4 linked regions of the Rhinolophus ferrumequinum genome follow. The protein of the gene in region 1 interacts with the protein of each later gene in a pairwise test. Links are inferred from orthologs where the notes say so. Each region holds a gene or a part of one and is shown in the gene's direction. Other genes may lie near its edges. The genes, in order: CAMK2B, RAP2B, CCM2L and ACOT7.

Region 1 (7,732 bases):
AGACCTTTTCCTCAGCACCTTGGAGCTAAGTGAAGTCTTGATTAGATTCTGGCCGATGGGTGTCAGGGGAGGGTCATGTGGCCAGAAGCTGATGAGTGCCCACAGTCCATCCTCCTTTTCGCTATCCGACTCCTAGGGACCTGGACGCAATGGCTGGGTCTCTATGTTGGAACACTAGGAAGAGAGCCAGCCCTGGCAGCAGAGGTGCCCCCTCTGGGTGCTTGGGGGCAGGGAAGTCCTTGGCTGATACACACAGGTCCTCTGTGTCTGCGATGGGAACCCCAGGCCTATAGCCACTTCAGCACGCATGCCCTGTGTGCTTACGGGTAGGAGGTGAGCAGGTGGGCACAGGAGGGGCCTGAGTGCAGGTCTCCTGACTCACACCAAGATGCAGTTTCCACAACAAAACCCTGGCGTCCATGGTGAAGGAGGTACAATCTGGGAGTGGCTCCCCGGCCCCTCCTAGCTATTTGGGACACTGGTGTCATGCTGCCTGAACAGCCCTGGTCGAGGGAGACAATTGTGTGAGCCCAATACAAGGTCGGCGGAGAGATGGGTTGGGACAAAGCCTGGACTTCTGGGGCCCAGCGTCACAGGCATCTCCAGAAGAATGGTGGTGACACCAACCAGGAGGGATGCGATGGAGTTGGACCAGAACAGGCCACTGGCCTGGGGCTTGGGGAGGGGGTCCCAGTCAACCAGAGGCCGGGGAGGGGTTCAGGAGAGGTGGCAGGAGCAGGGCTGAGCCCCTGCCCGCGAGCGGGCCCAGCAGGGACGCCTGTACGCTGAGCGTATGGTCTTTTGCATACAGTGCTGCCCACCTTGGGCTTGGATTCCTAGTGAAAAAGAGGAGGTCTGCAGGTCTGTCCCCTCATGTCCTTCATGCCGGACACTCGCTGTGTCCCAGGCTAACTGGTTAGCTTTGTCACTTTGTTTGTTAGTGTTTAGGTGGCTCAGACTCCCTTGGGGGACTCAGGTACCAAGCAGAACGCGCAGATGAACAAATGATAGAGCATGGCGGTGCCTTGCAGGCCCTCTCTTCCCCCCTTCTTCTTTCCCAACACACCAGCCAGCTCCAGCCACAGAGCCCTTGCATCATGGCTGCTTCTGCCTGCAGTGCCCTTCCCCTATCCTAGTGTCTCTGTCATTCAGATCTCAGCTTAAATGTCACCTCCTCAGAGGGGCTTCCCCTGGCACGTACTCTGAAGTTATCACCCTGTCACTCTCCAGCAAATCACTACTCAGTGTTTTTACATTTGTTTCTTGTTGGTCTTCGGCATGAGCCCACCTCATTCCCAAGTGTGACTCGGTGCTGGGCAGAGCCAGGCACAAATGGCACACAGTAACCACATGAACAAGGCCAGTAGTCACCCTTGAGCAGACACAGTGGCTAAAGGTAGCAGATATAAAGTCAGGCAGATCTGGGTGCCAATACTGGTTTTGTCACAAACTGGCTTTGTGACCTGAGCCCAGTTACAGTCTTTCTGTGCCTCAGTTTCCTCATTTGTAAAAGGAGGCTAACGATAGCCCCTATCTTGCAAGGTTGCTATAACGTTTACATGAGGTGGTGGGTGTTAGACCTTCAGATTTTCCAGTATGTAGTGAGTACATTGTAAATTATAGCTTGGCCACCATCACCTTCGCTGTCACCTCCATCACCACCATTATCACCCCATCACCACCACATCACCACCACCATCACCACCACCACCACCACCACCACCATCACCACCACCACCACCACCACCACCACCACCATCACCACCACCACCACCACCACCACCACCATCACCACCACCACCACCACCACCACCATCACCACCATCACCATCACCACCATCATCACCACCACACCACCATCACCATCACCACCACCATCACCACCACCACCACCATCACCATCACCACCATCACCACCACATCACCACCACCATCACCTCCACCACCACCACCACCATCACCACCATCACCACCATCACCATCATCATCACCATCACTACCAAATCGTCCTCCCACATGTTTGCCACAGCATCCTGCATGGGCTGCCACATCATGGGCCAGGTGATTGGACATGGATGACTGGGATCTTTGTGCTCTAGGGAACTGCAGCATGCTCGTCCAGGCAGATGACTGTGCCTGAGAGAGGTGGTGGCAGTGACATCCCTCCCATAACAGCAGCCCCTGGGGGTGAGGGGACAGAGGATGCCATGGCTTTCCTTGGGGGACTGAGCCCCAGTGCAGCACTTTTGGCTCTGCAGATGTGATGCTCGTTGCCATGGGGACCATCCTAACAATAACCTCCCAGAACTGAGAGCTGATATTCCCCACACCCGCCCCAGCTGCCACCTGGGAGGGAGAGCCCTCCTCACTGATGAAAGCCAGCTAGAAAGGATAAGGGGGGAGGCGGAGATGACATGGGGGTGCGGGTGGAAGAGGTCCCTTCCAAAAGGAGGGATGGGAAGCAAAACCCAGATGAGAGGCCTTCTGGGCAGCCCCAGAAAGAGTTATGGCTGGCAGCCCCTCACTCTTCTAGCTTTTCCACTCTGCGGGGGAGGAGCCCTCTGGGCCTGGAGGTGGGGAGCGAGTTGCTCTGTGAGTGGGGTGAGGGGCTGGGCTGTGTAGGACTGTCAGGGTCTCTGGAGGCTCAGCCGTTCCCCATAATGGTGCTCTGCCCTCAAGGTTGCTCTGCGTCGCACCTTTAATGTTTCAGCCCAGGGGAGGGACTGCGCAGGGAACTTCAGGTCCTAACAGGAGAAAAGGGGGCTCAAACTGCACCCCTTTGGTGACCCTGACTTCTTGTATAACCTTGGACCTGGGCAGCCTCCTCACCCAGGGAAAGGGACCTCAAAACAAAGCACCCAGAGTGCTGCTGTGGAAGCCATGCATGTGTGTTACTGTGTGTATGTGTGAGTGTGCGAGTGTGTGAAAATAAGACGAGGCGTTGTAGAGCAGTGGGGTTTCAGTCCCAAGCATGTTCTAGCTGTGTCACCTCTCTCTCTTTCTCCCTTCTAATAAAATGGGTATAGTAATAGTATAACCCTCCTAGGATTGTTTGAGGATTAAATAAGATAATTCATGTAGAATCAGGTAAGCAAATCAGCGTCGTCATGCCTTTAATGTCACTTCATCATGGCATGGACTCGCGCTGGTACGAGTGTGTGACCTTGGCAGCACCCAGAGTCTACTTGTAGCCTGGAGAGAGACTGATTTGCCCAGGGGTGCAATTTTGTTTTGTTTGCTCTTTGCATTCTATTGTGAGCTCAGAACCACGCAGATGGCCCAGCATGTTGGGGGAGAGGCTCCTGCGGGGTTGAACACAACCCCAGAGCAAGCCTCTGCTGGTCTGTGAGGGGCCTCACAGGAAAGGTGGGTATCGTCTGTCAGGACAGCTGAGGGCTCTGGTCCCAGCACCGTGGCATGGCAGTGGTCTCCCATCCTGCCAACCCTGCTGCAATCAAGGCCATGCCCCCAAAGGCCCCTCACTGCCCCCAGTCAGGACTCACCCGATTATCCTTGGCCTCTGTCTTCTGGGTGCAAATTGGGTCTGCAAAAGCACGCAGAACCTGGACTGGTCCCACCTGGTCTGCTAATCTGTCCGATATCCATGTGCCAAAGGCAACTTGGTGGAGCAGGCCCTGGCTGCCTCCACCCCAGAATCCCTTCGATGTGATCTTTTATCCAGGAAACATTTATTGTGGCCTCTGGGGCCAGCCCTGGACTGGCCACCAAGGTGAGTGATGAGCAGGAGCAGGGCAGGCCAAGTGCCCACCACTGGGAGCCTACCTGCCGTGCTGTCAGTGGCTCACGTCAGGGCAGCCAGGCAACCCAAGTCCAGAGCTAGCTGAAAATTTCCTTCCTCAGGGCCAGTCCAGGATGGGCCCTGGCCCCGGCCGCTCAGGGAGTGTGGGGGTACCAGATCCCGGTGGGTCCTCTTCTGGATCTGAAGTCCCCATTCTAGGCGGCAGCCTGGGCGTGGCCCTGGGGGAGATTCTTCTGTGGAAAATTGGGGTCAGCCAGCTTCTCCTGCCAGCCCTCGTGCTCCCTCCTCCTCCTCCCCCAGGATGGACCCTCTTCTATCAGACCAGAGGAGGTGGGGGTCAGGCAGGTGGATGACGCCTGGCACAGGGGAGAATGTGTCCTCCTACCCCAGCAGGGGCTCAGGACACGAGTTCCCCTGACTCAAGGACCCTGGGCCTGAACTCCAACCGCCCCCTTGCTGGGACCTCTAGTGCAGACACCCCAGCACCCAAGGCTAGGAGGAGTGAGGGAGGGAGCGTTTGGGACCATGGGCAGGGGGCAGCCTCCAACCTTTCACCTCCCACCCCCAGGATCTCCAGTGCGCACTCTGGTTTGGGGGTGACAGGACCATGCGGTGTGCGGACGGGTCAGTACAGAGTCTCCTCCCAGGGGTGTGAGGGATGAATCCTGTGGAACGTAGCACACGTGCCCCCATCCCCTGTGCGCCCAGTGCCCTCTCGCAGTCCTGGGCAAGGTGGGCCTTAAGGCGAGAGGGGGTTGGATTCACTGTGTGGTCTCGTTTGTGTGCGCGCGCGCAGAGGGTCGCCAGCAGACGCAGCCGGCTGTGGTTCTGTGCGTGGCCCTGAGCTCCAAGGACTTGTGTTCAGGGCACATGTGTGTGTGCGCGCGCGCGCGCGCGTGCGTGTGCAGGGCGCGGGTGCGGATGAGGGCGCGGGTGCGGGGCTCGCGCAGGGGGCGGCAGGCGGGATAGGCACGGCAGGCTCGGCGGTGACAGCAGCGCCCGCGCTCCCCGCGCGTAGGTGTGCAGCGCGCTCCTGGCGGGCACGGAGCGCGCAGATCTCGCGTGCGCTCGCAGCCCAGCTTGGCCCCCTCCTGGCGCTGCGAGCCGAGGTGTCGCCCGCGTCCGCGTCGCCGTGCCCGCGAGCGGGAGCCGGAGTCGCCGCCGCCCGAGCGCAGCAGAGCGCACGCCGAGCCCGTCCGTCTCCGCCATGGCCACCACGGTGACCTGCACCCGCTTCACTGACGAGTACCAGCTCTACGAGGATATTGGCAAGTAAGAGCCGCGGCGCGTGCGTGCGGGGCCGGGACCCCGGACACCCGGACCTCCGCGCCGCCAGCTCCGGGCGCACTGCGGCCCGGCGCGCCCCCGGCTCCCACCGGCTCCGGGCCCGGAACGCACCGGCTCCGAGGCCCGGACCCCTGGGCTCCTGGCCAGGTCGCCGGACCTCCGCGTGCTCGGCCCTGCCTGGTCCTGCTCAGCGAGGTCGCCCAGCCAGAAGCCCCGGCTCGGGACGTGGGGATCAGTGCGGCGGGGGCGGCAGCAGGTGTCCCCCGAGCGCCCCGCAGACGTGACGCATTTGGCGGCGGGAGGTCAGAGAGGAGGGGCGCGCCTGGGCAGCTCTGGGTCCTGGAGCGTGAGGGAGGGGGCAGCCGGGGCCGAGGGTCATCCCTGGTGTGGGCCGTGCTGTCCCCACCCCCACTGAGCGGCTGGGCGCGGGGGCGGCAGGACCTGCTTGGGCGCCTGCTCCTCCTCGTGGCTCCATCCGCGCGGGTGTCGTGGGGCGGGGGTGCTCGCTGCGCTTTGGGCCGCGTGAGAACAACCTATGCCGCGGGTCCCCCAGGGAATCTGTTCTGGGGGATTTTCCCGAGATCCTTCCGGAAGGAGGAGTCTGGAGAGCTGGAAACCGAGGTCAGGGAACTGGGGTTAGGTCACTGGGCTGGAGATAAGGCGGTCAGGTGGGGAGCCTGCGGGGGCTCCTGATTTCAGAGTCCTAGAGGTAGGTGGGGGCCGGTGGGGAGGTGTTTGAAGGCTCCTTTCAGGTAAGGCCACATCTGGGAACAGGTGGCTCCCGGCTCTACTCGCCAATGTGAAGGGTGTAGGGCCTGAGCCCTGGCTTTGCGGGGGGGGTTGCATCACGAAGCCCGTCAGGCGCTTCTCTGTGGCCGGGGCTGCTGGCGCCGTGAATCGGGGGGCTTTACCCCAGCCTGCTGCCAATGAGCCCCGTCCTCCTCCATCGTCCTCCATCCCAGCTGCGGAGGTTTCCTCTTACACACCCAGCGGCGGATCCTTTCTTTCTCTTTCTAAACAAATGTCTGTGTTGACACCTTGTTTGGGGTGCATGCTGACCATTGATGATTGTGGGTGCGGAGTTGGGAGGAGGCTGGGGTGCAAATACCCAGGCCTAGGGGCTGCGGGGTGACCTGCAGGGGCCCATGGTGGGGCCAAGGCTGGGCGGCGTACCCACAAACTCCCTGCCCTTGAGTGGGGTTGGTTGGGTGTCGGGCCCCAAGGCGGCTGGACCTGGAAACAGAGCAGAGGTAAGGGCAGGGTCTGCTTTCCCCGGTTCCCACCCACGACACCAGCTGGGGGCGGCAGTGGGAGGAAGGGCATCCCTTCCAGGGGACTTCACATTGTTCTTCACCCTCAGGGCTGCCTCTCTGTGAGCCCCCATTTCCTTGCTGGATGACCCTGGCTTCACATTCCTGTGAAGCTCTGGTCCCAGCAGTGAGTGCTGAGCATGGCAGCTGCCACCCACAGCCACACTGGGAAGTGGGGTCCTTGGGGCTGTCCTGGGGAGCCAGAGCGGGTGGCAGCCCCCACAGTGCAGGTGCACCCCTACCCCGGCCTGAGTGGGTGAAGAGGCCTAGTGTGTGTGTGGGGGGAGGGGCAGGGCCTGAGAGGAAGGGAGGGGAACAGGGATTCAGCTAGGCCTGGAGCCCTTTGTGGAGCGCCCCCAGGTGTGAGGCTCAGCCCTGCTGGGTGACTGCAGGAACTGGGCATTCAGCCACCCCACCCAGGGCTGGGGTCCTCAGTGGCCATGTTGGCTGGTTGTTGACAGTGCCTGGCCTCCCAGAGACACAGTTGGTGTTGCTTCCTGGCCCAGGTGGATGTGTCCAAGTTTATTTAAAGCTGCAGCCCCTGGCACCAGTCAGATGACGCTGAGCGCCCTGCCTGGGAAGGCCAGGCCACTGGCCCACAGCTGCCCCTGTGACGTGGCTGCCAGCTTCTCCGGTCTCCCTCATCCCTTTCTCTACCCCCGCCAACTGCCAGGCATTGTCCACTGGGGCCTGGACTACAGGGTCCGAGGGCCAAAGGAGCTGTTTTCTGGGGCCCTGCCTTTGTCCGGCTGGGCCGGGCTGACGTGACCCATGTCCTGGGTTAAGAGCCACCTCGAGCTGGGGGTCCCCAGACAGGACAGAGCTGGGTAGGACACTCAGCCCAGCACAGAGCCTCCCGCAGTGTGGTTTTAATGTGATTTCTCTTGATTTTAATCTGGGTGGATTTTTAATTTTATTTTTTAAATTTATTGGGGTGACAATTGTTAGTAAAATTACATAGATTTCAGGTGTGCAATTCTGTATCACATCATCCATAAATCACACTGTGTGTTCACCACCCAGAGTCAGCTCCCCTTCCATCACCATACATTTGATCCCCCTCACCCTCATCCCCCACCCCCCAACCCCCTTACCCTCTGGTAACCACCAAATTATGTTCCCCATGGGTGGATTTTTAAAATTGAGAACACTTCCCGGAGTAGTGTGTCTGTTCTGCCCAGAACTTAAAACTGTCCCTCCTCGATTGCCCTTTTGGCTTTAAGTTGTTTTTATAAGTTATAAGCCGTGAAGCATCACAGATCAGTGTGAAGCGCCATTTCCTCCAGCTGCTGTCATGCTCGTGGCGTTTGTCCTCCTTTTTTGGTTAATTTACACACAGATGGAAGTGTCCATAACTAATATATAGGATTCTTGG
Region 2 (7,092 bases), on another chromosome or scaffold:
TTTCTTGAGGAGTTAAAAGATTCATGTTCTAACAAACCAGTTAATTCTTTGAAGGCCCAACTCCAGTGTCACAGAAGCTCAGCTATCCCACTGTGTGAGCAAAGGCCAGAGACACTCGTCTATGTAAATTCAGTACCAAAGGCTGAGCAGTGCTTACCTGGTAGCTCTTACTTTTGTTTTCTAGAAATGCCTCTTCATGTTATCTGCAAATGTGAAGTCTTCTTCAGAGAAAAGGTTTGTCCACTGAACACTTGGCCACTTTCCCCAAGTTAGCACTGATTTAGTGTTTCCACCCAAATAAGGGTAGACTTTGATCGCCCAACATCTTTGTGACTCAGGAGGACTGAAAAAATAGTATATATTTTCTAAGGATCCAGGAAATGTTCTGTCTCACCAAGAATTAATATAATTTTTAACAAACAGAGTTTGGAAACTGAAGAAAATGCCATTCATATATTCAATAAATATGTATTGACGGCCTCCTATGTAGGTACTGCACTGGGTATTCTGAGGGACAGAGGTGGCTCCAAAAATAATCTGATATGGACCCTGCCCTCAAGGAATTCACATGATGCTGGGTGACAAGACACAGCCATATAAATAATTATTGTACGGGATATATAATGACCTATAAGTAAGGTAAATAAAGACTCCTGACAGATTTCGTAAGAGGAAATGACCACCCTTAAGATTTTCTGCATCAGCAACTTTATTATTTCATTTTGAACCCCAAAGCCACAGTGCAAATCTTTCTGTGGGAGACCATCTGAATGTAGTAAAAATTACTATTGAAGAATCCCTAATTAGAAAGTATTCAAACTGTGGCATCTTTCTGGTACTGGAGAGGGCACCAAGATTCAATAATACCCATCCACAACAATGCCTGGATTCCTGAGGATAGTCTTTCCTAGGTGGGGCTGTCAGGGCCCCTGGGTCTAGGTGGTAATTGTCATGCATTTATGGGGTACTGCAGCTTTGAAAGCACATTTCCATCCATTATCTGTTAATTATTACCCCCGAGGACAGGCTGGCACCATGAAAAGGGCAGCCCAGGACACCAGGGTTCTAATTCTGCTCAGTTCTCTCTGATATAAAATGACACGTTTGGTCACTAGATTCTCTCCAAGGTTCCTTGTATAGTTAAGTGGGTAGGTTAAATTTTATCACCATTTTATAGCCAGGAAAACTAAGGTCAGGAGAGCTTATGGGACTTGCCCAAGGTCTCAGATAATTGATATCCAATACTTGAGATTAGCCACCAGGCCTACATAGAAAAGCATTTTCTACTGTACCATATTCAGCACCACACCTAGCATTTGTGGGCAAGAGGACAAATAAAGGCCCATACAGCATTCATCTAAGTATTTAAGTCATAAATCAAGATAACAAACTGTTAAACACAACATGATTTATCCTGCCATCTTGACAAACACCTCTTCCCAAGGACCTGGAGGGCCAGGTGTGAATTATGAATTCTTAGACTCCTCTGAGGGCGGGCCAAGCTGGAAGGTGGCAGGGAAGGGAGGGCTGACTCCAAGGTACCCCTCTTCCTGCACTAAGGAGGGGCCCCAAGTGCCCTGCAGGGCACACACCTCAGCCCACAGGTCCAAGCCCTGTCCACACTCTGTCAACAAAGACCCATTCCCAAACACAGGGATGAGTTCAGAGCCCCAAGCAGATCCTGGAATAGGGTTTGGTACCATTTGGGCAGAAGATTCCAGAATTCTGATGATCTGTAGCATAGTCTAGAAGAGTGTGTGGGCTCTTTGACCTGTGGAGAAGGGGCACTGCCAGAGGTAAGCAGAGGTGGAGGTGGGCAGAGGTTCCTTTTGCTTGGGTTTAAGAGCCAGTCTGATGACACTACCTCAAGATTCAATCTAAGAGTAAAATCTGGGAATTTTCTTGTGAAGTAGTAGTATGGCCAATTGTTTACAGCAGCCGAACACCTGTGTTGGGACCCTAGCTTGGCCACTCACTAGCTGTGAAATATCAAGTAAGTTGTCTTAGGGCCTCAGTTTACTCGTCTTAAAACAGATGTGATAATCATTATGAGGAGTAAATAAGATAGCACGTGTTAAAAAGGTTGGCAGACATTAAACACTGGTTAAAGGTGAGGTTCTCTCCAGCTGTATTAGGTGAATTCGCCTTCGAGTTAGGTTATCTGGAGAATTATATAAGCACAATTATATCCAAGCTCTCTGATCATCAAGGTTGAACCTTCCTCCTTTCTCCACTAAATAGCGGGGCCAGGCACAGGGGTGGGCACTACCCACCCCCATCCAAGGCGTAGGCTGCTGCCCACATCCCGCCAATCCGGTGGCCCAGGACTTTGGGCTGCAGACATGCACAGTACGAGCTACAGCCTGGGGTTCGGAAAAGGTTACCTCGCAAACGTGGCCGTGAATCGGGCGGGGCTCAGGAACTGAAACTAAGTGTTAGCACACAGCACACCGCCTGGTTCATCCCTGTGATGCGGGCGGTTAAACCAGTGGGAAGTGACACCAGATAAAAACGTCAGGACACGGAGCCAGGGTTGACAAAGCCTTGTCCCCTCCCACCCCTTCATCTAGGTGCTCCTGCTAACTTCTCTAAGTCTTCTGACAGGTCTTGACATCTCTCCTCCGCAAGGAAGGAGGGAGACTCGGGGCAAGTCGAGGCATCTCCCTTGCACCTCCCGTGTGAGCTGAGCCAAGCGAAGACGTTTTCTAAAGACAAGCCTGGGCATTCCCCGTCCCCCCACCTCTCCGGGTGGAAAGAATTCAAAGTGGCCCGTTTCCACATCCTAGCCCCTCTACCCCTTCTGCAAAAAACAAAACACAACAAAAACTTGTTAACTTTGCTGTTGCTTATGGACCAAGAACTGTAACCAGCCCTTTCTCCTCCTTTTAAGGGACAGTCGTGACTGGGCACCGAGAAGTCAGACTCTCTCAAAAACACCAACAAAGGACTATATTTAGCTCTGAGCTCTCCGCCTAAATTCCTCTTATTTTTGCACTCTTAGCTTCAAAACGACTAGGTTGGGGAAGTGGGAGGAAGGGCGCGGGGGAGCAGCAGAGAAAGAACAGCTGTGCCTCCGCCTCTCAACTCCAGCTCTATAAATAACCAATCAAGAGCGGAGGTTACTTTTTAACCAATGAAGCAGCCCAAACTGACAAAACCTTGGCGGTAGCCAATGGAAGAACAGTTGGGGGTGTGAGATTTGCGCCCCGGGACCAATGGGTCCCGAGGCTGGGAGAGGTAATTTGAGCTGGAGTGTGGGTGTGTGGTGCAAAAGCTTCCTACTTCCAAGCCCGAAAACCTGCTCTGCCCACTGAGCATGCCCTGACTGGCTGCGGGAGCAGCCGCCACTTCGGGACGGGGTGGAATTCCGGTCTCCAGGTTCCGCTCCAGTCCAGACGGGAGGCGGGTGGGACGCTCCAAGTCCCAGCCCAGAGAGGACTGCGGTCACTGGAGGCTGCCCGTTTCCTGGTCGGGACGGTGGTTCAGAACCAGCGTTCTCGTGTTCTTTGTCCGCGGAATGAAGTGCGGGCAGAGTTGGCCATAGAAGGGCGAGTGGCGTTTCCCAGGCGAACGGTTTAGAAAAGAGCTGCGCCGTGGGCGGGGGAAGCTGCTCCACCCGCCGCTCTGGCACCCAAATGCCTCCGGCCCTGAGACGCACACCCGCAGGGGCTCTGAGAGTGAAGTCCCCGGGCTTTTGATAAACGGGACTCCGCTGCAGCAGAGGCCGCCCCTGGGGCGGGCCTTCGCGCCCACAAGCTTCTCGTAGAGCCGCCGCCTTCTGCGGAACCCCAGCGCCGTGAAAGAACGCGGCCTCCAATCCTCCTACCTGAGCTTTCCCAGCCCCCCTTCAACATAACCAACCCCCCGCACTTCCCATCCAGCCCCTAGACTCGCGCCTCTCCGGAATCCGCTCCTCCGGACTCAAATCGCAAGCCCCACCCACGTCCCCGCCCCCTGCTTGGCCCCCCGGAAAACCAGGAGCAGCGGATCGGGCGGGCGCGGCCGGCGGTGCACTGGGCATGCTCGCGGGGGTGGGGAGGGCCCGGCTGCGCGCGGCGAGTAGGAAGCCCTCGCCCCGCGGAGGCTGCGGGAGAGAGCGCGATGGGCCGCGGCGGTGGGCGTACGCTCTGCGGGGACTCATGCCACGAGCGTCCCAGCTCGGCGCGCAATTAGCAGCCACCTCCGCACCCCGCCGCCACCGCCTCTCCGTCCTCTTCGGCTGCCGCGGCGAGGAGCTGCAGCCGTCGCCTCGCACAGGCTGCCGGCATTGTCCTCCCGGTCCGAGCCAAGGCTGCCGCTGCGGGCTGCTGCGGGGCCCCGGACCCGCGCCCCAGAGACGCGCCGCCGCCGGCCGGCCCGGCGTCCGGCCCCCGTTTGGTGATTGCTGCGTCCTGCGCTCCCCAGCCACAGTCTCCTAGATTTTTCCTACGGAGCTGAGGACGGGGAGAAGTCCCGCCGCCGAGTCCAGCCTTTCCCCGGCGCGCAGCCCCGACGGGGCCGCGGCAGGCGCGGTGAAAGCGCCGACGGAGCCATGAGAGAGTACAAAGTGGTGGTGTTGGGCTCGGGCGGCGTGGGCAAGTCCGCGCTCACCGTGCAGTTCGTGACGGGCTCCTTCATCGAGAAGTACGACCCCACCATCGAGGACTTCTACCGCAAGGAGATTGAGGTGGACTCGTCGCCGTCGGTGCTGGAGATCCTGGACACGGCGGGCACGGAGCAGTTCGCGTCCATGCGGGACCTGTACATCAAGAACGGCCAGGGCTTCATCCTCGTCTACAGCCTCGTCAACCAGCAGAGCTTCCAGGACATCAAGCCCATGCGGGACCAGATCATCCGCGTGAAGCGGTACGAGCGCGTGCCCATGATCCTGGTGGGCAACAAGGTGGACCTGGAGGGCGAGCGCGAGGTCTCGTACGGCGAGGGCAAGGCCCTGGCGGAGGAGTGGAGCTGCCCCTTCATGGAGACGTCGGCCAAAAACAAAGCCTCGGTGGATGAGCTGTTCGCCGAGATCGTGCGGCAGATGAACTACGCGGCGCAGCCCAACGGCGATGAGGGCTGCTGCTCGGCCTGCGTGATCCTCTGAGGCGCCGGTGGCCGCCGCGCGCCGGCCGCGCTCTGCGCACAAAAGCCAAACGCACCCGACTCTCTAAATGTGATTTTTCTTCTTGCTTTGAGATTGGAGACGGTTTTGCATTGGCCAGGGTGACCCGGGAGCCCGGTTGGCCTCTGCGGCCGGCGTCCCCAGCCTCCTCCCCTTGTCCGAAGGGGTATCCGGTCCTGACCATCCGAGACTCGGTGGAAATGTGGCTCTTTGCAGCATGTACGTTTCTCATTGATTTTGGTTGACGTATATTTCCCCCTGTAAGTAGCGTTTAGGGCGCTGTATTGGCAGCTTGACACCAGCAAGCGAAAGTTTCAACCAGGAAAAAAAAAATGGGGTGGGGGAGAAAGAGGACAGGGAGAAGGTGGAAAGGGGGGGATTTTTTTTTTTTTTTTTTTTTTTTTGTCAACAAAACCGTTTTCTAGTTCCAAGTTTTAAATACATGGAAGGAAGTCCGGGAGAACCAAATGAAGGAGCAGGAGGAGGGGAAGAAACTTTTGGGTTTTTTTCCTTGTTTTCCAGGAGTAGCTGGAAATTATGATCAGGTTCTTTTTCTGCCAGCTTGGAAGGGCAACCCCGTGACTGATTGCGATTTGAGGATGTCTATGCAAAGTTGGATTCTTGTTACAGTGTATCCAATCTGAACTATTGCACATCAGAACTGACTTGTTAACACTGATGCCAATACAGTGTGGGGTGCCAGAAAGTGTCTGCTGATATTTGTGGGAAAAAAAAAATCTATTTTGTTTACCTACTGTATCAAAGGGGAGTCTGGGGGAGAACGGTAGTATTTTTTTTTATCAGCTGTGAAAAAAAATGTTACAGATCTGCACATCTTTGTGTGTACTATTGTGTGTGTGTGTGTGTGTGTGTGTTTCTTTAAGTTTAGTTTTTTGTTCTTACTGGTTGACAGTAACAGATTTTGATGACTAGCTCTTTAAAATACAGGACAAAGACTTCACAAATGTGATTCAGGGCCCCCAGCACCCCTGTGTCTGCAGAGTGCCTTCCAAACTCAGCTGTTCCAGCCGGTGCCAACCTGTGAACTTCCCACCCTGTCCCAGAATCTGCTGTTCCCCACACCACTTTCCAGTTTCCTTTCAGTAATCTTCCTGAAGGAGACAGGACAATAGGTCCTGTTGTTCTGTGAATGTCTTCATTATGTCCAGCCTTTAACATGTAATTTCCATGTCTTGCAATGGTTTCTATTCTTTTCTATTTTTTTTCGTTTTCATTTTGTTCAAATGTTCAGGTATTTAGCTCCCCTTTTATATTATCATTAAATTCTTTTGGTTATCTGTTAATAGGGTGTTCCTCCAGAAGCTAAGAGCAAAATTTTACTGTTGTGATGTACCAAGAGAATTCTAACAAATTGTAATTTTTAATTCCAGACACATTGTCTCGTCATTTTAAGACTTTTAATACAGATGTCATTTTTAAAGAAACCCAAAACTATTGTTTGTGTTTCTGTGTTTCATATTCAGTATCATGGCTGAGGTGGACAAGGGCAGGTGGTCGTGCCTGCCCCAAGAGGTGTTTGTCAGATTTTGAAGACAAGTAACTCATTGGCAACTTGAGTGACATTACTCCCAAATCCTTAAATAATAGGAAAAGTCATCAAGGTCTAGGAAGCCCTGGGGTGTGGCCATGCCGGCTTACTACATTTGTTCTGCTGACAAGCAACAGCTTACCTCACTGTAGGTAAGGAAGGGAGAATCCAAATGCTAATACTGCCTGCCTTTGGTCTGGGAAAGTAACCATCCACCTGACCAGGCAGAGTAGCACTTACTGTTTTGTTTAAATTAGGTCACCTACCAATTCCAAAGGATGTTTGGGGAAGATGATTTCTATTCTGAAGTCATATACCTAATAGTGTTTTCTGCAGTACATTTTGTCCGGGTTGTAGACAATATCTCAACCCTTCTGAGGTTTTGATTTGGAAATAGATCATTAGATTTAAAAGGAAGAGGGAAAAAAAAAATCTAAGGCAA
Region 3 (7,001 bases), on another chromosome or scaffold:
CTACTTCCAGATCATCCCTTTAAAAAGAGGGGTTGTGCTCTCCCCTGGCTCTGTTTGCCCTTCCAACTGGCTGGACTACAGCTGTGTGGAGAGCCATCTTGAAGTCGAAAGCAAAACCATAGTATGGTGGAGTAAGAAGGTAGGAAGGCCCTGGGTCCTGCATACACGGAGTTCCTATACCTGCTGTGGACCTCTTAAGTGATAGAAGACATAAACGTCTATGTCTAAGCCACTGTTATTTCAATCTTAGTTATAGCCCAAATACATCCTGGCTAATACATCTGACCCTGAGGTTCCTAAGAAAAGTTTTTTGAAGAATCTCTAAGAAAGGTTTTCTGTTACAATAAAAAGACATACAAGAAGGGGAAACCCTTGGCTTCAACAAGGGTTGATGACATCAAAAGCAGGCTAAGGAAGGATGTATTACTCCTAAAGCCACAACAGCCATCTTGTCGGCTATATGAGTTTTCTAGGGCTGCCGTGACAAAATAACACAGACTGGATGACTTAAACAGCAGAAATTTATTTTTTCACAATTCTGGAGGCTAGAAATCCAAGATCAAGGTGTCAGCAGGATTGGTTTCTTCTGAGGCCTCTTGCTTTCACTTTCAGACGGCCACCTTCTCATAGTGTCCTCACGTGTTTTTTCCTCTCCATGTGTGCATGCGTGGTGTCTGTGTGTCCAAATTGCCTCTTCTTAAAACGACACCATGGGGCGGCCGGATGGCTGAGTTGTATGGCTGAGTTGGTTAGCGCACGAGCTCTTTACAACAAAGGTTACTAGTTCAATTCCCACATGGGATGGTGGGCTGCGCCCCCCGCAACTGAGCTGCGCCCTCCACAACTAGACTGAAGGACAACAACTTGGAGCTGATGGGCCCTGGAGAAACATGCTGTTTCTCAATAATAAAAAATTAAAAATTAAAAAACAACAAAGCAAAACGACACCAGTCAGATTAAACTAGAACCTACTCTTTGGTCTCATTTTAACTTATCTCCAAAAACAGTCACATTCTGAAGTACTACTGGGTGTTAGTGCTTCAACATATAAATTTGGGGAGGCACAATTCAGTCCATACCACCAGCAAAGCAGAAAAATGTAAAGAACTTGATGCCATTTTTGAGATGCTCAATTAACCAGCCCTGGAATCACTCACCATTGGACGTCTTGTCTGAAGAGATAATAAATTGTCCTTGTAGTCTAATCCACCTTTTTAATTTAATTTTTAAAATTTTTAAAATTTTATTTTATTTATTTACTTTTTTGGGGGGGAGGAGGGGATATTGGGGAACCACCGACAGCTCAGCGGCAGCTCGTTGTCTTCAATCTAGTTGTGGAGGGCACAGTTCACTGGCCCATGTGGGAATTGAACCGGCAACCCTGTTAAGAGCTCGTGCTCTAACCAACTGAGCCATCCGGCCGCCCTAGTCTAATCCACCTTTGATCAAGTAGCTTATTCTTTGCAGCCAAAAGCATCGCAACTCAGGCACCATGTGTTTGCTCAAGCTATTCCCTCTGCCTAGACCTTCCTACCACATGTCCTTCAAGGCTTGGCTTGAATACCACGGGCTTGGTGAATGACTCCTGAGTCTGCCTTCCCAGACTAGTCACTTGCCGTATTTCAGAGTTCTTTGCCTATGTGTCTTTCTCTCTAACCAGGTCAGGGTCGGCATATGCATGATACGCCAGCTGCCATGTGCCCCCCTCCTGTCCCATGGCAGGCATCGATAATCAATCCTTTTTCATTCTGGGAGTAGATCTGGTGTTTATCCTCTCCACAGAGCTCCAAGCAGCCCCTGCCAATCAACTGGAAGTGGCTCAAGATGAATCCTATTTGCCACAACTGTCTTTGAAAGCAGGGACTTTATTTTATTCAACTGTTTTATGATTCACAAGCTAATAATAAATGTTACCACTGTATGCTACTATTTTCATTTAACTCCTGCAGCAGAGGCAATCACCATCATTATCCTGCTTTTGACACATGAGAACTCTGGGCTCTGAGAGATGAACTACCTGTTCAAGGTCACACACATTTGAACCTAGGTCCACCTGTTTCCTCCACCTACTTCCACTGACGTTTACTAAGCATTTGATTAGTTCATAGCCCTGGGGTGGGCACTGCAGAGAATATGGATAGTTTGCTATTTCTAGTGGCATTCAGAACATTTCTTGTCCTACTTGAGAAGCCCAGAAGCTCAGTGATGTTTGGAGTTAGTCCAGGAATAATAAGCGTCCCCATTTTACAGATAGGGAAATTGAGGCTCAGAGAGAGGAAGAGGCTTGCAAAAGCCAGTCATGGAGGTGCCAGAGCAAGAGACCATCTTTCATTCTCTGCTGCCATTCTGAGGGTGGGAATTCGGGATTTGCTCAAGGGGTTAAATGGGAGTTTTGATGTCAGGAACAGTCAGGGATAGCAACATCCTGGCCTTTTCCGGTTGGCCACAGGCTCATGGAGATCTCCCTTCCTGCTGCTGGGAGGTGACTGGCAGGATGTAGAGAAGCAGGAGGGAGTGGCTGTGTGAGCTTGCACTAAGCAGGCTGGCCATTTCCCCTCCCCGGAAAAAGGAAGGGAGGTAAGGGGAAAGGCTAATGGCTAGGAGTCTTCTGTGGCCCTCACACGCAGAAGCAGTGGGAGCTCTGACCCTTGCTCCAACGGGCACTGACCTGGCACACCCACACTTTCAGAAAAACAATCCTATGCATTGGCCCCTGCACTTCACAATTTCCAACCACTTTTCTCATCCAGGGCCTGATGTCTCCTTGCCACATCTCTGAGTGCAGGGCAAGGCTGTGGGGTCATTGTTCCCATTGCAAAGATGAAGACGCTGAGGCCCAGAGAGGTTACAATAAGTAACCTGTCCTAGATCATACAGCAAATCAGTTCCAGAGTGTGGGTCTCTGGAACCCAGGTGTCATGGCAAGGGGAAGACAGGTCAATCAGAACCTTTCCAACTGTCCTGGGTGGGGTATACGGAGTGCATTGGCCCTAGAGGTAAGAAACTTGGCTTCAGATCCAGAGCTGGCAGAAATCCCGGGTCCTCCTCTTATTCACTGTGTGACCTTCTTGGGTCAGCCTCTGCAGTTGAGCTTGTTCTTAAAATCTGTATGATGGCTATAATAATGGTACCCCAATGTTATGAGGAATAAGTGAGATGAAATACATAAGGTGCTCAGCACAGAACTACAAAGGGAGCCTTGCCTCCCTAATATTCTCCCAAGAGACAGTAAAATAGCCCAGGATACACAGACACATAGGAAAGTAAATAGTTAAGATTTATTAAGCACTTCATATGTGCCAGGAGCTCTTCTAAGTGCATTTAATCCTTACAAGTTCACTATGAGGTCAGACTGGTATTATGCCCATTTTATAGATGGGGAAATTGAGGCACGAGAGATTAAGGGACTTGACGAAGGTCATAACCCTAGTAAGTGTCAAAGACAGGAGTCAACCTCAGGCCGCCTATCTCCAAAGCTCATGCATACTGCTTTCCTTAATAGTAATAATTAATTTTTTAAATTATAACTTGCTTGGACACAGTATTCTATAGTTTATGATGTATTTTTCTACCTGCTCTTTCATTTAGTTCTCACCACAGCAGCCCAGAAAGGAGGCAACATTTACTCCCCATTTATAGTGGGAGGTGGAAAGTGAGGCTGTGAAAGGGGTAACTGACCTGGCTTACCAAGGTCACACAGCCAGGTCAGCGACAGAAGTAGAAGTAGGACTTGGGAGTTTCGGACTCCATATTTAGGGGACCCTTCCCCAGCCTTATTCAACTCCCAAGCCCCCTCCATAGCAAGCCTCTGGCTGGAGGCCTAGAGGTTGTCTCCTCAGGTCAGTTGCTCGAGCTGGGCTTCCACTGTTGAGCTGAAGGGTCCCTAGGCTGCGTCCAGCCCCCTCCACCTCTGCTCACTATCAGACAGGAGGGGCAGGAACTCCAGAGCTGGTGGAGTTTCCGACCAGGCAGGAAAAAGAACAAAGGAGCTGTGTGGGGGGAGAGAGTGGAAGGGGTGGCCAGTAGGGTGGCAGAAGTAGAAGGGACGATTCACCATGGAATATGAAGTCAAGAAAGGGAAAAAGGTAGGTGGGAGGTTGGGAGGGACGCAGGGCAGAGAAATGTCCCCAGAGCTGGGGAAATGGGAAGTCTGGGGTGGGGGTGCTCGGCAGTGAGGGCATAGGTAGGGCTTTTTTCCCATTTGGAAGGACCTTCCTCCCCACCCTTGGACAGCCAGACATTTGGGCTCCAAACTCCTTAACCGGTCTCCTCCTGCTCTCAGTGGCTTCTGCCACCCTTGTAATGTACAGACAAACAGACAGGCACCTTCCAGGGAAACCCGGCCAGACAGATTTGTTTGGGAGACGGTTCCAACCTCCTTCCCTGGTGTTTTTGGGGGTTCCCTCCTGCAGCTTCTCAGACCAGGGACAGACACCCAACAGTCCCATTCCTCTGCTCCCTACTCTCCCAGACAGAAGGACCTCAGCCAGGGCAATTCTGTGCTGACGCTGCCTATTCTGGCTTGAGACTCATACCTGCTCCCCTGCTGGGTTCCAGTCTAGTCTGCCCCTCCCCATCTTTATACCAGAGCTCACTCCTAAGGCCTCAGCCTAGGGGTTATTCCCTCCACCCCTTAGGTTCTCACTCCTTCCTGACTCTAAGAAGTTCTAGTTTGGTTCTCTGAGCATCTCACCTGCAGTTCAGGGAGCCCCTCGGACTCCAAGTCCCACTCTCAGCTCCACCGAGTCCTCTTTTCCCAGGAAACGTAGGTCAGGCTGTTCCAAAAGGCTCCCTCGTGAATCACAAGGGCTCAGAAGGGAGCCAAGATGGATGTGCATGTTTTCTCTGGATTCATTCCTTCTACAGATATTTACTGAGCACCTATTATGTGCCAGGCACTATGCCTGGTGCCGTCGATGATGCAGTGATGAGCAAAGCCAGGCAAGGTCCCTGCTCCCTCCCTGGAGCTCAGTCTCATGGGGGAGGCAACTATCAATTTTTTAAACAAAGTATTTAATGCAACATTGCATAAAATGTTCCATACACGGTGCTGGGAGACAGGATATTAGGGACTCAGCCCTAGATTGGTCAGTTTGAGCTGAGATCTGATGGGTGGAAGGAAAGAGGATAGGGAAGAATGCTTCAGGCAGAGGAATAGCACGTGCAAAAGCCCGGTGGTGGGAATGAATATAGCAAGGAGGAAGAACTGAAAGATGGCCCTGTAGCTGGAGGGCGGAAGTGAGAGGCAGTGTGGGGTAAAATGAGCAGGACCATTCAGGGCCACAGACAAAACATTTACCTCTCCAGCCCACTCACACATACACAGGATAAAGTCCCAGCTGCATAGCTGGCAATCAAGGACGCTATGACTTGTTGACATAATCATTCAGCCACAGCAGACCTCACGCAGCTTCTCTAGGCTTGTGCACATCTGCCTGAAAGCCTCGTGCTGGAATGCGCTTTCCAATGAGATCGTTTGTTCTCATTACTCAGAGCTTCCATATACCCCATCCAGGCTCCCTGATATTGGTTTTAAAACTTGATGCATCAGAATCACCTGGAACCGTTGTTAAAACCTGGATCATTGGGTCTCATCCCCAAGTTCTGATCCATCAGGTCTGAGGTAGAGCGCAAGAACGGACATTTCTCTCAAGTTCCCAGGTGCTGCTGCTGGCGGTGGCGGCGGGCATCCAGGAATCACGCACCGAGACCTGCATGCTCTAGAGTAGTGCTCAAACTTTCCTGTGAGAACTGGATTCTGTTGGGCTGAGCAGGGGCCCTGGAATTTGCACCTTTAACCTTGCTCCAGGCCATTTTTATGCAGGTGCCCGCTGAATTATACTTCCGTGTACTTATTAACTATTTCTAACTTTTAGGAAGCACAGAGAAGAGCTTCACAAATACCTATGCACCCACCATCCAGCCACATGGAATCTTAGTATTTTTCTGTAATTGCCTCAGCCAGGGTCTTGGCAGGGCCTCCACCTCACCTTGGTGTTTAGAATGGAGGTTTTGGATCCAGACTGACCAGGGTGAGCAATTGGTTTTACCACTACTCGCTGGTGACCTTATCAGCTAGTTCTCTCTCTGAGGCTTAGTTTTTCTGCCTGTAAAATGGGGATTACGGACGTACCCCTTCTGTAGTCTTTGTGAGAATTAAATTTGGTGATGTAAGTGAAATCCTGAGCGTGGTAAGTTCTCTAGAAACTCAGTTGCTGTTATCAATGTTATTCCCCCACTTTCCCCAGGGCTTTGTATCCCCTATCCGGAGGCTGGTGTTCCCCAAGGCGGCACGCCGGGCAGCCTTTCGGAGCAGTGTGAGCCGCCGGCCCCTGCACTCCATGCCCCTCTATCCCCCTGACTACCTCATCGACCCCCAGATTCTGCTGTGTGACTACCTGGAGAAAGAGGTCAAGGTGGGTGTGGAATGAGAAGAGGTGGGCACAATCTTGGGTTGAAAAGCGTTAATATATGTTCCAATACTGCATGAGACTAAAAATACTAAAAAAAAACCAAACTGAAAAAGTATCTGTTATTTATGTGACATTCAAAATTAACTGGCATCTTGTATTTTATCTGGCAACCCTCTATGGAGAGAAAAGCTAACAAATAAATCCATTTAAAAACTGGAGACTTAAATTTCATAGAGAATTAAAAAAAGAGAGAAAAAGTGTGATTAGTGAAATTCACCAAGAAGGATAAAATTAAAAATAATGAAAAAAGTTAATTATTATATTGATGGAATAACACTGAAGTTAAGTGATAACATTAAGTTATTAAGAATAAATGAAGAATTAATTTATTGATTTGGGACATAGTTTTTCTGACAAAATTGTACACTTATTTCATACAACATTTTCCCCTTTCCATTTAACTTCTGCCACAAGATCCTAAAGAGGGTGAGTGACTTGCACCGTCATTTGAAACGTGCTTGGGGGCGGGGACAGAGCCACTCAGGTCAAGCGGGAATTCACAGGTGGTCAGTCCTTTCGAGGTATTAT
Region 4 (7,475 bases), on another chromosome or scaffold:
GAGGGCAGGAGAAGAGGGGGGAAAAAGAGCAAAGGACAAATGGTACAGATAGAAAAACAAATAGCAAATGATAGATTTAAGTATACGAATTGATAATTTCACTATGTATAAATGGTCTAAATGCTCCGAGTAGAAGGCAAAGATTGTCAGACTGCATAAAAATGCAAGTTGCTACTACTATATGCAATTCTACAAGGAACAGTCTCTATTTTCTTCTGTGGGGCCCACTTCTTTACTCCACCCTAACCCACTTTTTTTTTTTTTTTGAAATATTTGAATTTGGTTAGAACAGCTCTGAAAAGTCTGGGATGAGACCATGAGAATCTGATTAGAGTGATGATGGTGATAATGGAGAAGAAACTAAAAGTCAATTAGAAGGAACATGGTCAAGCCTTAGCTAACCAATAAGATATGGAGGAAGAAAGACAGGAAACCAAATATCCCTAGAGAGGATCCTATGATTTGGAAAATGAACAACCTTAATTGATTTCTTGAAATTTTCCTCTATCCTGATTTGCCTTGGTAAGTAACCCAATGTAAGTTGGTGAAGAAACACACTTTAAATATAGAGACAGAAAGGTTAAAGTGAAAAGACAGAAGACTACGATGGGTTAATTTCATGTGTCAACTCGACTGGCCTAGGCGTGCCCAGATTAAACATTATTTCTGGAGGTGTCTGTGAGGGTGTTTCCAGTGAGGTTAGCATTTCAGTCAGTAGACGGCCCTCCCCAGTGTGAGTGTCGCCCTCGGACTGGGATATGCACCATCAGTTCCCTTGGTTCTTAGGCTTTTGGATTTAGATGGAATCACAACACTGGCCTTCCTGGGTCTCCAGCTTGCAGATGGCAGATCGCTCCTCAGCCTCCATAATCATGTAAGCCAATTCTTGACAATCTCATAATAAATCCATCTCTCTCTCTTTCCATCTATATCTATATATCTCCGACTGGTTCTGTTTCTTTGGAGAACCCAAAAACAAAAAAATACAATACTAACACTTATCAAAAGAAAGCTGGGGCAGCCACATTAATACCAGTGTACTGATAGCTAATATTTTAGAATGCTTGTTGCTTCTCTCCCATATTTATTCTATCTCACCACCCTATGATAGCATTACTGATGAAGTAACTTGGGCACAGAGTAAGTAAGTAATTTGCCCAAGGCTGCACAGCTAATAGTAAAGATATGAGCGTGGGAATTGGACTACATAGTCCAAACCCATAACCACTAGGCTTGCTACTTCCCTAAAAATACATAGAAAAAAAAAAGTCCATAATCCCACTTCCCAGGTACATTAGTTTTTAAAGTTGTGAACTAGATATAACAAAAATGCGTAATGCCCATATGTGCATTGTATAAAAACAATTATCAAGCTGTACACCATCGCCTGAGTCAAGAGGGAACATACTCCCCCGTTCTCCCCACCCCGTGGGATTCACCCCGATCATACTCTTCTCCCTCTCACTGCGAGGGACCCACTGTCTTGACTTTTGTGATAATCATGTCCATGTTTTTCTTTACAGATTTGCCATCTACTTACGTTTTCCTAACAAATATTTTATTTTTAGCAAATTTCTATTATGCAACACAGTGTTATCAACTATAGTCACCATGTTATACATTAGATTCTCAGGTCTTGTTCCTCTTATAGCTGAAAGTTTGTACCCTGTTATCAACCTCCCCTTCTTCTCCCCACCCCCTAGTCCTGGAAATCGCTTTTCTATGATTTCTTTGAGTTTGACTTCTTTTTTTTAAAGATTCCACATACTGTAGAAAATGCAGTATTTGTCTCTCTCTGTCTGGCTTATTTATTTCACTTAGCATGATGCCCTCCAGGTTCATCCCTGTTGGCACAAACGATAGGATTTCCTTCCTTTTTAAACTGAATAATACTCCATTTTGGCTATTGTGAATGCTGCTGCAGTGAACATGGGGGTACAGCTATCTCTTTGAGACAAAGGTTTTGTTTCCTTGGGACATATACCCAGAGTGGGATTGCTGGATCATATTGTAGCTCTATTTGTAATTTCTCGAGCCTCCATACTGCTTTCCACAGTGGCTGTAGCCATTTACATTCCTATCCAGTGCACAAGGGTTCCCTTATCTCCACGTCTCTCCAGCATTTATCTCGTCTTTTTGATAAGAGCACAAATGGAATGTTAGGTCTTTCTGTGCATGGCTGGACACTCACTATATGTATCCTTTTGGATCTTTTCCTCATTGTGATTCTTTCCTGTTGTAAAGGAATTTCATTGGTTTTCACGGGTATTTGTACTGCATCGAAGAGTATGCTACAATTTACTGACCCAGTCTACAGTTGATGGGCGTTTGGGTTATTTCCAGTCTGGGGTTATTACAGTGTTGCTATGAACCCTCTTTGAAGCGTATCTGGGTGCACTCATTCTCAATATATCGGGTGAATACCTAGAAGTGGAACTGCTGGGTAAAGGATATGGCTATTTTCAACTTTAGTAACTATTTTAAACTATTTTCCAAACAGGTTGTACCAATTTAGTCCCAACCTCAGTGTATAAGAGTTCCTATTGCTTCGTATCAGATGCTCCGTAATTAACCATGAAAAGGTAATAACGTAGGTGAATGGTTAGATGATAACTGTACAAAAACATATAAATGAGAAGTAAAGGCCTTACCCCTAGTCCTTTTTCCAAAGGTGTCAACAGGTTCTTCCGTATCTTTCCATAAATATTAGGTATTATTTTAATAATATATTTGTTTTTAAAACAACTTGTGTATATTTCTAGTCCAAAAAGTGTGCAAATTAAATATAATGAATTAAATATCTGCTGTTGTTAAATACATTGCTGTTGGTAAACCACTACTAATTCAATCATTCGTAAAATATTTATTGAGCATCTATTATGAGCTATGCACTCTTCTAGGAGTTTGGGATACAACAATAGTCAAAAATGCCTGCTTGCATGGAACATACATCCTAGTTGGTGGAGACACAATAGATAGATGAGTAAAATATATGTTGAACGGTATTAAGTGCTAATTAAGAGAAAAACAAACCAGGGAGGGGGCTAGGGAGTGTTGGAGAATTTTAGATAGGGTGAGTGGAGAACTGAGGATGTGAAAGGGTGGGCCACGTGGGTCCCTAGGGCCAAGTGGTCTCAGCATATTAAAGGCCCATCAGGGAGGTCAGAGCGGCGAGAGTTCAGTGACCGAGAGGGAGAGCAGTAGGTGAAGCCGGACACATGGAGGTAGGTGTGGGCAGATTCTTGAATGCCACAGCTGGAGAAGTGACCACATTCTAGACTTACGTTGAATGTAGAGGTGGCAACATTTGCTGATGGGTTCGATGAGGGGTGTGAGAGAAAGGGGGGGGTTGTCAAGGATGACTCTAGGTTAGCTTAAGCCATTGGAAGGAAGGGATTGTGACTGAAGTGGGAAGACTGCAGGAGGAACAAATTCTGGGGGACTATGAGGATGGTGGAGAGCGTTGGATGCCTATGACACAGCCTGAGTGAGCTGCGGCCTAGGCAAAAGCACATATGAGCCTGAAATTTAGAGAGGTCTGCGCTGCAGATTATGTGGCAATTATTGACTAGATGGGACTTAAAGTCATGAGAGAGGATGAGACCTCCAGTCCAAGCACTGCTCGGGTCTCCTCTAAGTCAAGTTCTGAGGAGGAGGAGGTGAGGCAGAACAGCACAGCAGGCTGAGCAGAGTGGCTAGAAAAACAGGAGTGGGTGATGTCTTGGAAGGCAGAGTCAACGTTTTGAGAGAGATAACGTCTGCTGTTGAGAAGACAGGTAAAACGACTTCTGACACGAATTATTGGGTTTAGCAATTTGGAAGGAATTAGTGACCTTGATAATTGGGCAGCAGAGATAAAAACAGAAAGGAATGGGTTGGAAAGAGAACGGGACGAGGGAAGAGGAGAGAGGGTGGACGTATAAACAGCTCTGAGAAGTTTTGCTGAAAGAGAGGGATAGAAATGGCCCAGTAGCTTGAGGAGAAAGTAGAAAAAACTAAAAGGGGAAGGTGAGAGACTGTAAGGGGAGAGATTGTGTAAAACCATCAGCACTATAGCAAAAATAACTCATGGTATTTTTGCTAAGGGACTGGGCCCCCCCACTGAGATCCTGTTCGAAAACAACTGGCAATCATATACAAGTGGTTAACCCGGGAGCACCCTTTTCTCTTTACAGAAGCCAGGACACAGTAACATTTGGACTGTTATGGTCCTGGGCTCCCTCTGCCGTGTTTGCAGCGTGGGCCGTGTCAACAGACCCCGGTTCCCTGCTTCTCTCCAGCCCATCTAGGCTGGTGCTGCTGCAAAGGCACTTGCTGCAAAGGCCTAACAGTTCCTAGCTTCCCGTTTTGTGCATTCACGTGCCGCCCTGCACAACTCTACACAGCAGCTCCGCCACGAACGCTCGTTTACAGGAAACCGCCTCCAATTTCCTCTCGGGGCTGACTGTAGAAGGCGAAACCCTGACGCTCACTCTCGCAGGCCTTTCTGACACGCAACGGCCACGGGGCCTCCGCATCCGGCCTCTCCCGCCCGGTGGGCGCACGGTGAGACCACGAGCTGGCAGGCGCCGCGGGTGGGCACGCCACGCACAAACCACACCGCGCGGGGCGAGGCTGACCCACGCGGCCGTCCCGCCGGCACCGCCCAACCGCCGCCGAACCTTCTAGAAGCGGCGCCCCACGGCCAGAGCCCGACGCCCAAGGAGCCCGCGGACGCCAGGGGCCGGGACGTAGGAGGGGTGGGGAGTGCAAGACGACCGCATCCGATTCGCTGCCGGCCCGGAGGCCCCGCCACGCCAGCGCCATGGCCCCGCCTCCTCCCTCCCCCTCCATGGCGCCGCCCGGGCTCATTCATTCCGCGCCCGGCCCGCCAGACACCTGCGCTCTCCTTCAGCTGCCCGCCGCCGCTGCCGCCAGCATGTCGGGCCCCACCACCGAGACTCCGTCCGCCATCCAGATCTGCCGGTAAGAGGGGCGCGCAGCGCGAAGGACGGCCGGAAGGCCAGGTCACGGCCCGGCCTGCCCCTCCGCGCTCTCCCCGCCTCCGCCCCGGGCCAGGCCCATCATCTTCGGCCAGCCGTCCGTCTCCCGACCCCGCCCGCCCGCGGCCGGGTGCGCCCCGGGTGCCGCAGACACAGCGGCCTCCTCGTGCGCGTCCTCGCCGGCCTCCCGCGCATCCCCCGGGCGGCGCCGCGGTCACGCAGGCCGTTTGCGCACTGATTCGGCGCGACGCCCTTTCCTGGCGGGGGTCGGAGTGCGGCCCCCCTGCGCCCCGCCCAGCTCCGCCCCACCGGTGCCCAAGCACGCTGGAACCCCAGCCCAGGTCCCACTGAGTCCCCTAATTCAGGGTCGTTTTCTGGGTAGTGGTGCAAAGCCAACCGGATCCCCCGAGATGTGGGGCGCAAGTAACCAGCTCGCTGGTCGGCGTCCGGAGCCCGGCGAACCCATCGGTGGGTGCCCGAGTGGGCGGGGGCTGCAGATGTACAGTCCCTTTTAGTGCACCGCTTAGGTTTTTTTAGGGGAAACCAGGATTAACCCAAAGAAAAAAAAATATCCTTCCTCTCTAACAGTTTACTGCTAAGAGGGAATGGTCCATTGAGCCTGGAAGCATCTTACACAATGGGGGCAATTGTTTGTTCTCAGCAGACCACCCCTGCCTTTCTCCACGGGTACCAGGTAGATGGAGGCCCCCAGAGGAAGCGGGAGATCGGGAACTGGCTCATTTCCGACCAGAGGATGGAGGGCAGCCTCAAGGTTACTCTTCATTCCCTTGGGCAGAATCTGAAGCAGGCTCGCTGGTATTTGAGCTTGAGCTAAGTAAGGGCAAGGCTGCGAAGGCCGCACAGGCACTGGGGGCCTGCAACAGGGCCTGTCCTGCGTGGTGCACCGCTAAGAGTGACAGCTGCTTCCTGTTTTGGGGCAGGTTCCACAAATTTGGGCATTGGGTATCACGCTAACCTTGGGTCCAAGCCAGGTTAGTTTCCTGTGGATGTTAACATCTCTCTGGAAGAGTAAGTGCTGGATCGGTGGGGTGCCCTGACCGCACCCCCTCTTCTGGCCTAGTCCAGGGCCTTTACTGACTTCAAGGTCAGTTTTTACTTTTCTAGGGAGAGGGAATCTTCGGGGGAGCTTTGCTCCATTCCCTTTGTTCTTGGCTGTCTTGTCCACCCCCCACTCCAAGTTCCTGGGGCAAAAATAATAGAAGTGACTGCTATTTGGAGAGAGCGGGGCCTGGAATCAGGTCCTTGGTTCAGGCTCTGCCTCTTATTGGCTGGGTGACCTTATTGGCTGGGTGATCCTTTGCAAAGGGCTTGTATCTGTCTCATCGCGCTTGTTTTGTCCAACTTCCTGGGAGGAGGCAAGGATCTCCACCACTCCCCATATGTGGAGGAGGAAATTGAATTTCCGCAGACCCAGTGCCTCTGAAAGGTCATCCAGCCACAAGAGCCTGAGGAGCAGCTGCTGCCAGGTCTTCTGTCTCCAGACCCGTGCTCTTTCCACTGCACTCCCAAAAAAGAAGATACTGATTTCAGTCTATTTGTGGACAGCTGGGCTTTTATTTACTTCATCAGGCTGATGAAAACCTAGGCTACACATATTATCTTGTTAAAAACCAGCGTCTCACCTGAAACTTACATAATGTTATTAACCAATGTTACCCCAATAAATCTAATTAAAAAATAAGTATCTGAAAGCCCCAGCTTCTAACAATTAATAGATTTTTGGATAGCTTTAGACACTTCCATATGTGCACAAGCCTACATGTGTGGGCTTTTCTTGCTCACTGTGCTTTCCGGACTGCCTCTTGCATATTCACAATTGCATATTGTCTCGGCTGCCTTGGCTGTGGGATGCTTGGGCAGCATACCTGGCTGAGGTGAGCCTGCCAAAGTGGGGAGGGCTTGGTCACAAAGGCTTGGTCCAGTGAAAGCCCAGGACACAGGAAAGAGTGGACACACCAGTGTGGGGAGCCCTTTAAGGATATCTGAGCCGACACCCTGTGTTGAAAGAGGAGCCTCCTGGCCTAGGACAGCGGAACCCATGAATTTAACAAGTTTCACTGGACGCTTCCAAGGAGGAAAGTGCTCTGAGGGAGGGACACCGACCTGGAAAATTTGGTCCTTACCTTACGGGGTTTCACAGTTCAGCAGGGGGAAGATGCCCAAACCCCCACCATCCTGCACAGTTAAGAGTGCTCACGTGCTTTGGGTTCCGAAGGAGATGTTGAAGGGCTTGGGGCTCTAAAGGCTGGGGAGGGCAGTGGTTAGAGCCAGCTTTGTAGTCCCACGCCTGGGTGTGAATTCAGCCTCTGCCACTTGGCTGCCTAACTCTTCTGTGCCCCCATTTTCTCATGGGTTGTTCCGAGTGTTACAGAAAAGAAAATGCATTTAGTGCTTGCCAGAATGACTGGCGCATTGTAAGCAAATGGAGGCTCTTTTTGTCTGAAAAGTGGGACGCAAACTCAGGACGCTGAC

Evidence for each region.
Region 2: the proteins of CAMK2B (region 1) and RAP2B interact in binary tests that used the Homo sapiens proteins (3 or more experiments, as listed by UniProt). The two-hybrid records come from large-scale screens. The link is inferred for Rhinolophus ferrumequinum from reciprocal best matches to the Homo sapiens genes CAMK2B and RAP2B.
Region 3: the proteins of CAMK2B (region 1) and CCM2L interact in binary tests that used the Homo sapiens proteins (3 or more experiments, as listed by UniProt). The two-hybrid records come from large-scale screens. The link is inferred for Rhinolophus ferrumequinum from reciprocal best matches to the Homo sapiens genes CAMK2B and CCM2L.
Region 4: the proteins of CAMK2B (region 1) and ACOT7 interact in binary tests that used the Homo sapiens proteins (3 or more experiments, as listed by UniProt). The two-hybrid records come from large-scale screens. The link is inferred for Rhinolophus ferrumequinum from reciprocal best matches to the Homo sapiens genes CAMK2B and ACOT7.

The regions. Positions count from the first base shown.
Region 1 is NC_046303.1:208,211-215,942, reverse strand, and holds the start of CAMK2B (calcium/calmodulin-dependent protein kinase type II subunit beta), read left to right. Parts: upstream 1-4,712; 5' UTR 4,713-4,967; coding exon 4,968-5,032; intron 5,033-7,732. UniProt on the Homo sapiens protein: Calcium/calmodulin-dependent protein kinase that functions autonomously after Ca(2+)/calmodulin-binding and autophosphorylation, and is involved in dendritic spine and synapse formation, neuronal plasticity and regulation of sarcoplasmic reticulum Ca(2+) transport in skeletal muscle.
Region 2 is NC_046285.1:84,987,458-84,994,549, reverse strand, and holds the start of RAP2B (ras-related protein Rap-2b), read left to right. Parts: upstream 1-4,379; 5' UTR 4,380-4,531; coding exon 4,532-5,083; 3' UTR 5,084-7,092. UniProt on the Homo sapiens protein: Small GTP-binding protein which cycles between a GDP-bound inactive and a GTP-bound active form. Involved in EGFR and CHRM3 signaling pathways through stimulation of PLCE1.
Region 3 is NC_046306.1:22,527,806-22,534,806, reverse strand, and holds the start of CCM2L (cerebral cavernous malformations 2 protein-like), read left to right. Parts: upstream 1-3,996; 5' UTR 3,997-4,055; coding exon 4,056-4,085; intron 4,086-6,248; coding exon 6,249-6,416; intron 6,417-7,001.
Region 4 is NC_046292.1:3,884,680-3,892,154, reverse strand, and holds the start of ACOT7 (cytosolic acyl coenzyme A thioester hydrolase), read left to right. Parts: upstream 1-4,474; 5' UTR 4,475-4,804; coding exon 4,805-4,965; intron 4,966-7,475. UniProt on the Homo sapiens protein: Catalyzes the hydrolysis of acyl-CoAs into free fatty acids and coenzyme A (CoASH), regulating their respective intracellular levels.